2 linked regions of the Lytechinus pictus genome follow. The protein of the gene in region 2 interacts with the protein of the main gene of each other region in a pairwise test. Links are inferred from orthologs where the notes say so. Each region holds a gene or a part of one and is shown on either strand. Other genes may lie near its edges. The genes, in order: DNA-directed RNA polymerase III subunit RPC7-like and DNA-directed RNA polymerase III subunit RPC3-like.

Region 1 (8,078 bases), about 1.8 Mb from region 2:
CCCCCAAAGCTTTGTTTTTAAGACTAGCCAAACGTGTTTAGGGTATGTTTTTTTCCCCAAGCTTTTTCCCCCGAGGTCATATTTCAGCGACAACTTGTTTAGGGGCCAAAACGTGTAAATAAACTTGTTTAAAGGGTTATTTTGCACACAGAGAAAAACTCGTTTAGGGGTTGTTTGGAAGTAAAGTTCTTTCGTCTACCACCATGACTACAGCCAACATAAACACTGCAATTGCATGGATGCAGCGGTGGTCATACTTTTGACTGCGATTGTGATGTTTTTGAATAGGCAGTGAATTTGTAGCGTGATTTGGAACTACCCCTAATCGACCATCTAATTTTATAAGAATCGTATCTGCATAAGTATTTATAAGTTTTACCTAGTTTTTGTCTTGCGATGACTGCGTTTCTATGCGCATAAATATCAGCGAACAACAAATACGACAATTTCACATTTGCAACCTTCTTTTGAAACCAACCACCTGCTATACACTGACATTACGGCCGATTCTCATCGCGGTGGCGAAATATTTTAACTCTTCCAAATCAGTTCTATGATGTCACCATGCTAAATGATTGTCTCATTACTTCCACTGCAAGCTCCGGCACATGATTCAACGATTGACGATGGATATTTTCAAATTTTTGAAAATTTCAGTTTTTTTCGTAGAAAACTACATTTCTTTTTGTTTGTTTAAACCTCCTTTGGTATTTGAGCCATGGTTGAAGCTTTTTTATTGTTTAAAGCATTGATTTGCGAAGCTGTGACTTATTGGGAAAAAGTTGCAAGTTTATTTGAATTATTTCTTTTAGTACAAAAATCCTGGAGTTGTACATTGTACAAATTTCAATGGAAGTGATTTAAATCAATGATTAAAAAAAATTAGTGAAAGTGGAGTAGGGGGTAGACAGCTGGCAGCCATCTGTTTCGAGGAGTTTTTTAACATTTATTTATTTTTTTAATTTCTCCTCGTACACAGACGGCTCGCTATCGTGCAGCCACCATTAGGGGACTTACAATGCAAAATCCCCCCGTCGGGGCTCTTCAATTTTTGTCTTTAATGAATCAAACTTTTGAAAATTAACGCGACCGAAATGCAAATTAAAATTCCCTCTTGGCACTAATTGCCAAAAAACGGGGGAAAAATCAAGTTAAAAGGAATGAAAACAGTGATTTACCTCGGCTGTCGCGCAACTGCACTTCCGTTTTATCAAAACTTAATACATAAACATATGGCCATTGAGTCCCCTGTAGAGATCGCGCTAGAACTTCGGTCTCTGTATTTGGTGAGTGAAGCCAACGGAGTTCAGCTGAACAACCAACATAATAGAGAGACCGAAGCTTTTGGTCTAAGACTAAGTAGGGGGCTAAGTGCATGTTAACCGCTTATTGAAGGATTTATTCATGCTTTGATGATATAAAGTTGATAAAATCTTTCTATTTTGAGTAAAAAAACATATAAAAACTGCCGCAAATAAAAATATTGTCAATCATTTGTACATCATATGTTTCAAAGGAAGTGATTTAAATCAATGATTAAAAAAAAAAATCATCTGTGGAGAAGGGCCGTTTTAGGCACCTATGGGTACATTACCGCCGCCGTCCACAGGATAACCACTTGCACGGCACTTGCAATGCCTTTCGGGCTATATATTTTAAATTAGCAATATATATGGATTTAAGATCAGATAAGCTTTGGATATGAAACTTACAAAACGATATGAAGCCAATTTCAATTCCTCTCTGTCTTTCTGGTACTTTATATCGATGATCTTTCTTGATGTCGAAGCAGGCATGGCCCCGATTCGCTGGTTCTCTCTATACGCACAGAGAGCGCGCGCAATATTATTTAATAAACTTGCTTGTTTACGTCGTTTACGTCAGATCAGCTGTACTGCTGGCTGCGTTCTAGGCGCTCCGCATTTTTTTCGCTGTTCAGCGTTATTTTATGATGTAGCACCATCAGCGATTATACGTGACATGCAACCTGTTGATTTTTGGTACAATTTCCTATTATGCGCCGGCGACTTGAATCTAGACTGTTCGATAGGAAAAATTCGCATATCGATCGTTGTTTGCATAATTTCCACCGCAGTATTAAGGATCGGATGGAGTAACTGGCTGAGATTTGGAGGTAAGCGTTTAAAATCCATTTCTATAGATAAGTTCGTGCTGATTTTTAAAATTAGATTACATTATAAATAATATAAGATTAAGATGACTAAATTTAGTAATAGTATATTGTGAAGATTTAGGCGTGTTTCATATTCTCACATTCGTGTGATGAACGAAAACGTCAAAATTCATTATGAAATGACATGCGTTGTGCGAGGTTAGTATACTAACCTCGCATGCTTGTGTGAGTGCGTTTTAGGGGCCTAAGACTAAGAGTAAGACTAAGTCTGAGACATGTTAATTGTTATTGTCATGATTGTTAAACCATAACATAATTTATAGGCTACCTTGCAAGATCAACCTGATTTTACTGACATGATTTCAATTTTTTTAGTAGATATGAAGCATTTATTTATGTTTTGATGATATAGAATTGATAAAATCTTTCTATTTTGAGGAAAAAAATAAAACTACCACAAATAAAAAAATGTCATTGTCAATCATTTGTAATTGTAATTGTAGTGTACCGTAGGCCTACATGTTTCCAGTGGAACTGGAAGTGATTTATATCAATGATTTAGAAAAAATCATAGAGATTAAAATCACGATTTCAATAATGATTTAAATCAACGTGATTTGAATCAGCCCATCCTGATGATGTTGAAATCTTGAGACATATTTTAGTCGGAATCGGAACGGCAACACCGTGCGCATTTTTGACCAACATAATTTGCAATGATGTGGGACTCACAGGAAAAAGCGGTGGCGGCTGAGCAGTGGGAGGTGGCAATGATTCTCCTCCTCTTCCTAATCCAAGGGCATCAGCAGCAAACGACGACCCTCGACCACGCCCGCGACCTCGACCTCTTCCAGCCATAATGAAGTAGCACTGGTTTGTTGTTTTAAAAGGAACTTAAACTTAAAACAATAAATAAGTTCTTCCTCTAACCCACTTGAAAGTATGGTGTCTTTAAAAATAAAATTGGTATTAACTTGAATTGAATTTAAATAAATGTGACTAGAGCTATAAGGGGATGGAAATATATATTTTGGCAATTTTATGAAATAATAAATAAAATCAGAATGATACGTTGAGATATTGCTTAATATTACACGTATGTGTGAAAATGAGCTATATGGACATGTTTGGTATAAATCTAGAACTACTCCCACCCCATCCGTGATCCTGATGATGATGATGATGGTGATGATGATGATGATGATGGCGATGATGACGATGATGATAATAATAATAATGATAATAATTATAATAAATGAATAGATAAATAAATAAAGATGATAACAATTTAATGATGATGAGGATAATAAGCAAACAAACATGTAAATGAATGGAATCGATGAATAGATAAAAATCCAATTGCTATACGTAGAGACAAGCTTAATTTTACTTTTATTTTATAGACAGGTATAATTGCCCCTTATTAATAAAAAAAAATCCCATTGCTATACGTAGACAAGCTTATAATTTGACTTTTATTTTATAGACTAGCTGCCCCGGCCTTTATTCCAAACCAATTAACTCCTTCTGTATATCCTTATAAAATTATTTCGGTACTTTTCTCTGCTGTGTGTATCGATTGTGAGGGTCTGTGAATAGTTCCAGTGTGTATACCGTCAAGCCAGTGGAGTGGCACCCTCCGGGTAAAAAAAAATGGAGCCTATATACACCCTACACCCGACAACACCCTAGCTCTCTTATTTCTCTCGTATACTGGTAACCTATAGCGTTCTGTGTCAGGCTTTTATTATTTCTGTGCTTTTGTTTTGTTTTTACTAGGGTTTTTACCTCCTGCGCTTAGTGTAGTACCTCATCCATACCAGACCCCTCTATATATATACATCATGATCCCGCCCTCTATCCTACTCCCTTCCTTTTTATAATAGCTTTCACCACTTTCACCACCACAAATATATTGCAGTACATGACAAAAAACTTATTTAAGGGAACAATCCCTTCAAACTGTTCATGTGACAACTCACTGTCGGTTGACGCGCAGCAGCTTTTTCAGTAAAAGAGTGATCCAATAATCTTGGAATAGTTTGCCTGCAACACTATGTCCTCCAGTATTAACTCATTTAAACACGGATTAGATTCTTTTTGGTCATGCATTACATTTGAAATTGTCTTACATCCACGCCCGCACTGTACTTAATTGTTAGACTTTTAATTATGCATCAAGCGTTTACGACCGGGAGATCTACAGGGCTATATACCTACCCTCCCGTACAGATGATGATGATGATTAAAGGGGTGTTTTTTAGTTTTGGACGCGGGCCGCGTGTACATGCACTCATTAAAAAAACACCGCGATAAAAAAAAAAAAAAAAAACGGTGGTTTATATGGTCACTGGTCAATCACAGGGTCAAACGTACAGGGTATGTTTTTTTTTATAAACTATATAGCCATACGTGTTTAGGGTACGTATTTTTGCCCCCAAGCTTTTTTGCGACAACAATACATGTATATAGGGGCCAAAATAACTTTGCCCGCGAAAAACTTGTTATGGTGATTATTTGCACACAGAAAAAAACTCATTTAGGAGGTGTTTGGAAATAATTTAGTTACCCATGTGTACAGCAGTACATTTCAGGGGCCGCGGAAAGGTTTTCAAAGTGGGGGGGGGGGGGCTGATGACCATGCAAAAAGTCCCATTATATCGAGGTTTTTTACCTGACTACTAAGAAAGCACGAATGCCTGTGAGCAAGCAACCAGGGGACCGACAGCTTAAGGTCCTCTCCGAGGGACATGGTAATGAGGATAAATTCCTTACCTTCTCAGTTCAAAACAATTTGGATTTGTATCAGGACGATCAACAATGTTACAATTACTCAATGTGTTAAATGATTGGACGAATATGTTGGAGGTTGGTGGTGCAGTTGATGTCATCTACCTAGATTTCATGAAAGCCTTTGATAAGGTCCCACGTACACCAGAGACTTTTAGCCAAAATTGAGGGATTTGGCATATCTATAGCTCATATGTAAGTGGGTCAGAGGTCTTTTCTTGTTGGTCGACAGCACCGAGTTTGTGTGAATGGTGTGTTCTCTGACTGGGCTGATGTAACCAGCGGAATACAGCAAGGGAGTGTCCTCGGACCCCTGCTTTTTGTAATGTACATTAATGATTTACCGGATCAGATTTCGTCAAGTACTGTTAGTTTATTTGCAGATGACACCAAGTTATACAAGCATGCATGTTAATAATGACAGAGATGCTGAGTTATTACAAGCGGACTTAGATCGTCTTGTGTCATGGTCAGACAAGTGGCTATTAAAGTTCCACCCGGATAAATGTTGTGTACTTACTATTGGTACAAAGAATGATGAATTCAATGAATATACTATGACACATGATAATGCTTCACATAATCTATCACAAGTTGAAACTAGTAAAGATTTAGGAGTGATTGTCGACACAAAGCTTAGTTTTGACCAGCACTTTCAGTCAAAGATAAATAAAGCCAATAGGCTTATGAATCTAATTAGGAGAACATTTGTTTATTATCTTCACAAGGAGAACCTCCTACTCCTATACAAAGCATTGATTAGACCTCACTTGGAGTATGCTCATGCAGTATGGAGTCCATACTTAAAGAAACATATTCAAGCAATAGAAAATGTACAAAGAAGGGCCACTAAGTTGGTACCTGAAGTAAAGAACCTTCCATATGAACAAAGATTGATTCAACTAAAACTTCCTACATTAGCATATCGCCGTGCGCGAGGAGATATGATCGAAACATACAAGTTATTTCACAGGTATGACCAAGAGGTAGTGCCAGATTTGGGCCAGGTGCATGGGCCTACCAGAGGTCATGATAAGAAATTGTACATTCCGAGGTCAGTAACTGAGAAACGTAAGAATTCTTTTTACATAAGAATGAGGAAACCTTGGAATAGCCTAAGTAATGAATTACTAATGCACCCAGTGTCCACAGCTTCGAGAATGGACTGGATAAGTATTGGAAATGTGAACCTGTGAAGTACAAGTTTGACGCTGACCCACCAGGACATGCCGGCCAACCTAAAGAGGAGACAGAATTTGGAACTGAATATAGAGTCTTAGACTGCGTTCAGAAGCATCCATAAGTATCCATATAAGTAAGTAAGTAAGTAAAGCCAAGGGCACTAGCACAATCATATGGTCGTCATTTTTACGTTTTTGTACACGGTTTTTGAAAAAAGAGGGGGGGGGGGGGCTGAAGCCCCCCAGCCCCCCGCTTCCGCGGCCCCTGTATTTTGACTGCCCCCGGGAGTTTTGCCAATGATTTACCGTATTCGGCGTTGGTAATCGACTATGAGATTTAAAAAAAAGATTTAAAAAATCATGTGATAGCAAAGACACCATACCCAGTGGCATTGCGTGAAGACTGAAGCTCTGTAAAATTTACTTTTTGCGTGAGTTATTGACGAGTCCTGATCACTGTACATCTATTTTTGTGTGGTAAGATAGCCGGATATGAACTAATTTGAGTAGTTCTTTTTAAATAATAAACCATATGGGAGTTTACTATAGGAAATTATTCACTCTTTCCATTCTATCCAGTTACTGCGAAGTTAACATCGCATCCCTCAAACAGCCGGTGATTTCGATCGTGTGCTATCCGAACACATGTATCAAGGAATCGTGATATCATCCATTTCTTTGTGTGCGTAATATATTGCACGTGTTGCCGATAGTTGTGGTGTCCCCTGTGCACTCATTCGAATGAGGTCTCGTGTTTTGAAGGATGTCGCCTGCGCCTGTTTGACATCTAATGTTAGACAGACTAGTAGTGTTGTAACCCGCACCCGTTGCGGTACGGGTTAACCTGCCGGTATGCACCCCATCGCGGATTGCGGGCCGGGCCGAGTTCATTCTCAAACCCGCAGACCGTCATACGAAAAAAAGGGAGAAGTAACGACGCATAATAAAAACATTAACAATGAAAATTGAATTAGGATCATGTGCTTCTTACGTAGCGGATTCTTTTAGAGACGTAGATATTTCCTTTTTTAAAAATGCCGGCGTATTTTTGTCCTGTGAACAGTGAACAGGACTGAGACAGTTCGACATAATATTAATAAAATACATCGAGTTGCTCTTTCAAAGGAGCGCCAGTGCAGTGCAGCGCAGTCAGAGAAAGGAATGTTTTACGACTGGCAGAGGGGGAGAGAGATAGAGAGAGAGGGGAGGGGATGTGTTCGGAGAATGTGAACAGAAGCCAGAATACATTGCGTAATCATGTCTGGCAAGGAGCGAGTGATAGGCCACGTGGCAGAGAAAGAAATGCTTTATGACTTGGAGTGGGGCGAGTCGAGCCTGTTTCCACGGCAACGCTCGCTGTTTGAGCTCGAGGGATTTGCGGTGCACGGCAGTGAGACAGTTGTTTGCTTATTGGATTACCAAATTAGGTCATGACCTGATAGAGCGTGCCGTCAGGTCAGAGTGTTAGCTGCCCTTTTTTGAAGACACGCTAAGCTGGTCTAGTCTAACCCTCCTTTTCGTTATTTCATACATTTTCTGATGAAAACTGAAGCCCCCGCACTCTTAATTTTTCCGATGTACAATTGATTGAAAGTCTTTAAGATTTCTGAAGATGTAAAATGGGATTGCAATGGATTGCAAGTTTCTTGCAAATACCTCTCTCTTGACCGATCGATCGAGAGAGATAAAAAATAAAAAATAAATAAAAGCCTAGCTAAGCTAGCTAAGCACTAGTAACACGAGCTGTTTACGTAAGTTCATGGGCGCCCTCGTGCACGTTTGTATTTAGTACAAAGAATTGGAAGAAATACAAAAACAGAAGGAAATAATATATATACAAGAAGAAAAAATTACTGTATCATTATCCTGGTATTTATTTCAATTTTGATTACTTTATAGACGAGGTCCCATAGAATTGAATATTGTAATTATGATTGTTGTGAGTCGCCGTGTCGACCGACCTGGACTGAAAA
Region 2 (7,758 bases):
CGATATCCACATTAGCATGTGGTGGAATGTATGTTACAAGTCGAGTTGGCGTATCCCCATTCCAAATTATACAAGAGTCCCCCCTCCTCATTACCCTAAATTACAACAATGTCACCACCACTGCAGCCAGTTTGAATTTGAATTTCCCATAGAGATAGATGGTGATTAATGATTACAACTTTTTATTACACCTTTTATTGTTTGTCCAATATATTGTTCAAACTTTCACCTCTTTGCTTGTCTGATTTTTATTTTGCCTCTTACAAAAAGGGCCAACCTACCTGGTTCCATGAAGCCTGCCAAGCAAGAATACATCTTTCCTGGGAAGCCCTTCTTCCTTCCTAATAAAATGCTCTTCCCATCCTCAGAAACTACAAGCATAATAACCACTGGGTCTAAGCGTGGGTAGCAAGTGTTATGAACTCCGTTAAGACTTCTACAACCTAGAACATTAAAACAAAACAAATAAAACCTCATTCTCATGTTTGACACTTGTAGGATAAGTGGTGTTACAGACTTCTTTACTGAGCTATAATAATTTAAAGGACAAGTCCACCCCAACAAAAAGTTGATTTGAATAAAAAGAGAAAAATCCATCAGGCATAATACTGAAAATTTTATCAAAATGGGATGTAAAATAAGAAAGTTACGATATTTTAAAATTTCAATAAATTTCACAAAATAGTGATATTCACATCCTTGTGGTATGCAAATGAGGAGACTGATGACATCACTCACTATTTCTTTTGTATTTTATTATATGAAAAATATGAAATATTCAATTTTTTTCTCTGTTGTTGTGTGAAACAATGATTAATTCCTCCCTGAACATGTGGAATAAGAATTGTTGAATACTATATGGTTCAATCAAGTTGGTCCATATTGTCAAATATGTAAAAAAATGAAATATTGTATTATTGAAACAATAAAAACAAAAGAAATAGTGAGGGACATCATCGACTGTCTCATTTGCATGTCACTTAATTGTGCATATCATTGTTTTGTGAAAAATAAGCGAAACTTTAAAATGTCATAACTTTCTTATTTTACATCCGATTTTGATGAAATTTTCAGCATAATGCTTGTTTGATTTTTCTCTATTTATTCAAATCAACATTTTCTGGGGTGGACTTGTCCTTTAATAACCTGCAATATGCAGATAAAGATGAATTGGACATTGAGAATATGAATATTCATGAAACAAGGGTCAGCCTATTATTGGCCAATGATTATGCTTTAACGCATGGAAAAAAAAGAGAGAGAGAGAGACAAGAAAGCCATGGGATGATGTGATCTAATCCTAAAAAGGAAATGCTTCTCTAGAGTCAATTACAAAGCATCAATATGATATTGACATAAAGCTTGTACACTAAATGGTAAAGTTTACAACCTATTTATCTAACCCAATTGGCCAACATGTAAAGATCAATATTAACCAACATGAAAGCAGGATGTTACCTTCTTTTGTGCAGACTCGTTTATATCCTGCCTCTGCCGTGGTAGTAGATGCACCACAGGTAGGGCAGAACTTGTATCTGTCATGCCATGCCAACATGGACCTCCCCTGACCGATGATACCAGCATCTGCTGGACTCAGAAGCATTAAAGCCATGCGATTCCTCTTGGGTAACATCTCTGCTTCAGGTTTGATCTTCTGCAGATCTTCTGAAGGAATATCGGTAACATCCACAGCAAACCAGGCACCTTCGGAGCTCTTCTCTTGCATGTCTCCATCCTTGTTCATTGGAAGGTGCAGTGGACCTACCCCTAGGAATATAATGGAAGCTTCCTCTTTCAAGGCAAAGGAGATTTCCTTATAGGAGTATGCAGCAAGATTGTACTGGAACATTCCATTGCTGTCCTCAGAAGGGATGATGTATGGATTCAAGTATCTGTACAGGATATAGGTAGTTGTGGGTGCTTGCATGGCATCCCTTATCCACTGTTTGTTGGTTCTTTGGTGGCTCTGGCGATCAAGTGGGTTGAGGCCAAAGAAGTTGACCAGGTCCTTGTTGGCAACTTCTTTGATCTGAGGATCACTCCTTAGTAGATTGATGACTTCAGTATGGTCCCAGAACTCAGCAATATCCAAAGAGTTCTGACCTGATTTGTTGGGTAGAAATGGATCACACCTGTGCAATAAGGGAACAGAAAAATGTAGGCCTACATGAATCACAAGAGCTACAATAATCACAAAGATCTAAAATCTAATCAGCATGACAAAATTGTTTTGAATAGAATCAAAGAGAAAGAACTAGAGGTCTATATCTTCCTATTGGTATTGTACATCATCATTAGTTGTCATTACCGGTACAATGAATTTTCTAAACTGCTTTTTTTTTTAAGTTATGAAATACAATCATTCTCATTCTTTTTTTTTTTACTTTGGATGTACCATTTTTAATGAAATCTAATGTATAACTATGCACCTGCAACACCATCATCATCAAGAAATTAAATGCAAACTTATCTCCTTGTTTAAAACTTAATTTTGATTATAGCTGTCTGCTCATTATTTATTGTAAACTTTGACATCAAAAGTATAAGGCATATCATCATCATCATCATCAACATCGTCACCATCATCATCAACATCATCCTTATCAATTTTCATCATCATCATCACCACCATCCTCCTCCTCATGATCATCTTCATACTTAGACCAAAAGCTTCGGTCTCTGTTATGTTGGTTGTTCAGCTGAACTCCGTTGGCTTCACTCACCAAATACAGAGACCGAAGTTCTAGCGCGATCTGTACAGGGGACTCAATGGCCATATGTTTATGTACTTAAGATCGGATAAAACGGGGAAGTGAATTTGCGCGACAGCAGTGGCGTAACAGGCGGGGGGGCAAGTTGCCCCCCCTGGCGGATTTCACCGGGAAAATAAAAGAAAAACGGGAAAAAGAAAAAAAAAGAGGGAGAAAGAAAGGGGAAGGAAAGGGGAAAAGGAAAGGAGGAAAAGGAAAGGGAAAAGAAAACGAAGAAAAAACTTTTTTTTAAATGGAAAAGGAAGGAAAGCGGGAAAATGTACGAAAGAAGAACATCTGAGAAAGAGCAAATCATTCCAAAATAGGCCTATGTAATGCAATAGCACAGTGGGAAATAAATCAAAAGATGACAAAATGGCAAACAATTGCGGGAAACGAAGGTAGAATGTAATTAGTCAAAAGCTAATGGACTGCATACAACATTGTGCTTTAAGCTTGCTAAATGCGGGGCTAAATTTTATGCAAATAAGCTACCGGGGCTTTGCCCCAGACCCCACGCAGTAGGGGCTCTTCATTTATAACCTTCAAATGGCTCTATAACGCCCCCCGTTCAATCACTGGCAGACAGGCGGGGGGGGGGGGGTCTTGGCTCCACACCCAAGAGGAAAGAAAATAAATTATATGAGACAACGTATAATGAAATGAATGGAAACAATAAAAGGTGTTATTTGCTGAATATAATGGAAAAATATATCACATAATTAGAATTTAATTTCAATAGGCATTTTTTCCAGCTCGCTTTGCACGCTGGCGACTTTTTACAAATTTTTCCCACATTGCAATGTTTTGCTCCCTCAAAATATTTGGTTCATTACGCAACTGGGTTGAATAAAATTTGTTGTGTAAAATTAAGCTATATTCTGTATATGCCCGCGATTTGATTAAAATAGCGGCAATCTGCGAGGTTTAAATGGCTTTGATATCAAGAAGTTCCGGGGGCTCCGCCCCGGACCCCAACCGCACAGCACAGCGTATGGAAGGGTTGGGCCAAGGAGATATCACTCTGTGATATCTCCTTGGTTGGGCCATGGCTTCAAAAAGTTCTACAAACAAGAACAACAAAAAAAGGAGGAAAGAAAAGCAAAGGAAAAGTGTACCTAGATATGATTTTATTTACTGAATAAAAAATAGCTCAAAGTTAGATTCTCAGGAAAAGGTGATTTTTTCTCGCTCGCTTCGCTCGCTCGGGACTTATATAAAGCAGCTTTTTAGCACATGTGTTATAATGCGCCCTTCCGTTTTTTTTTTTTACTCTTCACGCTACTGCCGCACAGAATCCTGTTCACAGTGGCGTACAGACCACAAAAAAAGGAATCTAAAGAGAGAAGAGTGAAATATATTATTCTCTGGATATCATGTCAAAATCTATCACAAAATTGGATTTTTGTATTAAAAAGGTCAAAAATTTTTGCTCGCTCGCTTCGCTCACTCGCAACTTTTTTTTAAAGATAAATTCTGCCTGATACGCAATATCTGGCCTTCTCAAAATAGTCGCCTCATTACACCATTGCACCTGTTCATACCATGATATGACCGGGAAATTTTTGGCTCTTGCCCCCCCTGGCCACCGACCCCTGTTACGCCGCTGCGCGACAGCCGAGGTAAGTCACTGTTTATGTTCCTTTTAACTTGATTTTTCTCCGTTTTTTGGCAATTAATGCCAAGAGGGAATATTAATTTGCATTTTGGTCGCGTTAATTTTCAAAATTTCTATTCATTAAAGACAAAAATTGAAGAGCCCCGACGGGGGGATTTTGCATTGCAAGTCCCCTAATGGTGGCTGCACGCTAGCGAGCCGTCTGTGTACGAGGAGAAAAAAAAAAAAAAAAAAGTTTAAAAACTCCTCGAAACAGACGGCTGCCAGCTGTCTACTTCATACTAACCCATTTTGTAACAGGATCTTGGCGACATCTACATGCCCGTTCCTGGCGGCCAACATCAGCGCTGTCCACCCTTGTTCATTGCGACTATCCAGCCCAAGTTTCCTCATTCCTTGCACCATTCGAGAAACATGGGCCGTTTCTCCAAGACTTGCACAGCGATGAAGTTCTGTCAATAGCTGGTCCCGAGGGGCTGTACTGATGGAGTCCATTCTTGTACCTCTGTTCTAAATCAGTAAATGTGATGTTGTTAAACAAATCTCAAGGACAAGGTTCGTGAATCAGCTGACACATGAAAAGACCCATAAAGTTAGACTTTCATGCAGTCGTTTATAAATGTGCGCTATGACTACTGTACAGTGTGTTGTACGTGTGCGAGCCAACAGTCGAGTGTCTTTGCTTGATTAAAAGTCAATAGACGGTAAACGCCTGTTCGGAACATCTGTTTCCATTGATTCTCAACGTGCATTCGATATTCGTGCACTCCCGAAATGTCTTCTCTGCAACTAAAGTTGGTCTCTCTTCTTGTTCAGGACCATTTTGGAGATGCTGTAGAGAAAGTTTGTTCACACATTCTGAAACATGGATCGAATAATTTTCGGAGTATAGTCTGTGCGACAAACGAAAAACCAGAACAGGTGAGGTAGTACATCATGGTCATGCCATGGATGATGATGGGTTTCTTTGACTTCGGTCCCACGTGTTAAGAATTTTGTTGGTAATAATTTGGATTCTGGACTAGGCCTCGGGGCACTCGAACTCGAAGAAGGGGGGGGGGGGCATGTTTGCCTAGCCTGGAGGCTTCTGGAGAGTAAAAGTCATCTACTATACGTAGGCTTACTTTCCATGAAGCCTGAGTCGGGATACCATTGCTCTACACACACCGTAGGTTTTCCCACGCGGTGAAAGAAACCACTCTGGGGCTACACCGCTATTCCAACGCGTGTTGGAAAAGTCGACGCCAGACGGGTACGTTTTGGCCTTGAATTTCCAGCAAATTAATCAAAATTACGGCCTAAATTTAGGTCTATGTTATCAATTATATACTAATTTCATAATTATAATGTAAAACGGGTACTCACGGGTTCTTTTCTTTCCAAATTTTGTGTTTTCATCGCCTCTTCTGGCCAACTCTTGCGATGGATTTTGTCGCCATAGGATCCTGTACGTGCAAATCCAGGGCGAGTTGTCACATGACGCTCGCGAGTCTCTAGGGGTAATGGCCTTTAATCAAGGCGTTCTTTTTGCTATAATTTTATAATGACGCTTAAATATCGAAATCAATGTAGACGAGTCTGTGCAGGGGCATAACAGGGGTATATAAGAGGGGGCATAGTACATGTCGCATGTGGAAGATAAAAGTTACGTAATGTAAGTCCCGAGCACTAGCGTACCTAGGGGGGGGGGCAGTCTGCCCCCCCCCCCCCGATGAGTCACAAACCCATGCAAATTACATATCTCTGCCCCCCGGCCCCCCTGACGAGCTTGAAAACCTATTTTGCCCCCCCCCCCCCGACGAGCTTGAATACCTATTTTGCCCCCCCCCTGGCGAGCTTGAAGACTTTTTTTTTGCTTGTCAAATTTTTTCTGGTACGATTGAAGACCTTTTTCATTGAAGAGCCTTTTTTTCCTTTTTTTTTTGCTTGTCAAATTTTTTGGCGGCCGATTTTGCCCCCCTGTGGAAAATCCTAGGTACGCCATGCACTGCCCGCGCTACATGTATGTTGGTAGCCCTGGGACCTCTGGATATTAACTAATCCAATTTAATTACAGATGGCAGATTTTTTTATTATCTGAGTAGCCCCCCCCCCGGATTATTTGTTCTCACATTACTTTCCTTTTTAAATTTCCTTTCGTTCTTTCTTTCATTTTTCTTTCTTTCTTCCTTCCGTTGCTCCTATGGTTTTTTTTCAGGTGAAATCCACTCGGGGGATGGCCAGCCATGCCCCCATCTGTTTATGCCTCTGAGATGTAGGCTATACTCATGATCTTAATCTTCGATTTTCCAAAGTAGGGGGGTGCAATTTCTCAAGTAAAATTTGACAACCCCCCCAAAAAGGTTATCACAGAAAAATTGTCATTTTGTCTCGCGTAAGATTTGACAAGTAAAAAGAAAAGATGGTTACTAAAAATAAAAGACTCATTTTGTCCGTGTAATATTTGGCAAGCCTCCCCCCCCCCAAGTTTAACATATCGGAGGCGCGATGGCTCAGTCGGTAGAGCAGGGGTTTCGGATTCCGGTGACCCGGGTTCGATTCCCAAGTGGTGCGCTAGTGCCCTGAAGGCTTATCCTCATTACCAGGTCCCTCGGAGAGGACCTTAAGCCGTTGGTCCCCTGGTTGCTTGCTCACAGGCATTCGTGCTTTTTTAGCAGTCAGGTAAAAAATCTCGATATAACATAACATTAAAAAAAAGTGAAGGTCATTTTGTCCTGCGTGAAATTTTAAAAGTAATAAAAAGATGGTCACTAAAATTGAAGTTCATTTTGTTTGTGAAATATTTGGCAAGCCCCCCTCCCAAAAAAAGGTTTTAACTAAAAATGATTGAAGGCCATTTTGTTCCTCTTAAAATTTGTCAAGTATAAAAAAAAAAATCACTAAAAAATGAAGGTCATTTGTCCCACGTAAAATTTGACAAGCCCCCCCCCCCTAAAAAAAATGAAAGGTAGCTGATAATGATTGAAGATCATTTTTTCTTGCATAACATTTTACAAAAAAAAGTGTGTCACTATTTGGCGAGCCCCCTACCCTCCAAAAAAAAGGTTTAATTAATAATGATCGAAGGTCATTTTGTCTCTCGTAAAATTTGACAAATAAAAAAAAAGTTGTCACTAAAAAAAGAAGGTCATCTTGTCGCGCGTTATATTTGGCAAGCCCCCACCCCCCTAAAAAAGTTTGTCATTAAATATAGAAAGTCATATGTTCAAAGTAAAATAAATTTGGGAAGCAAAAAAGAAAAGGACAAAAAAGAGCAAAGAATATGAACAAAATATCCCCATTACAAATATTGCTGTGATTCTCATAAGGAGGTGGGGGGGGGGGGACTTAACTTTGTACGAACGACATTTTTTTTTTACATCCAAAATATTGACTATGAATCTCAAAAGG

Evidence for each region.
Region 1: the proteins of DNA-directed RNA polymerase III subunit RPC3-like (region 2) and DNA-directed RNA polymerase III subunit RPC7-like interact in binary tests that used the Homo sapiens proteins (3 or more experiments, as listed by UniProt). The link is inferred for Lytechinus pictus from reciprocal best matches to the Homo sapiens genes POLR3C and POLR3GL.

What each region holds. Positions count from the first base shown.
Region 1 is NC_087249.1:25,193,711-25,201,788, forward strand, and holds the start of DNA-directed RNA polymerase III subunit RPC7-like, read right to left. Parts: upstream 3,116-8,078; 5' UTR 2,993-3,115; coding exon 2,867-2,992; intron 1-2,866. UniProt on the Homo sapiens protein: DNA-dependent RNA polymerase catalyzes the transcription of DNA into RNA using the four ribonucleoside triphosphates as substrates. Specific peripheric component of RNA polymerase III which synthesizes small RNAs, such as 5S rRNA and tRNAs.
Region 2 is NC_087249.1:23,388,400-23,396,157, forward strand, and holds the start of DNA-directed RNA polymerase III subunit RPC3-like, read left to right. Parts: upstream 1-4,863; 5' UTR 4,864-5,142; coding exon 5,143-5,289; exon of another isoform or gene 5,290-5,349; intron 5,350-7,758. Other genes in the region: NAD-capped RNA hydrolase NUDT12-like, read right to left, coding at 282-443, 1,459-2,132, 4,655-4,863. UniProt on the Homo sapiens protein: DNA-dependent RNA polymerase catalyzes the transcription of DNA into RNA using the four ribonucleoside triphosphates as substrates.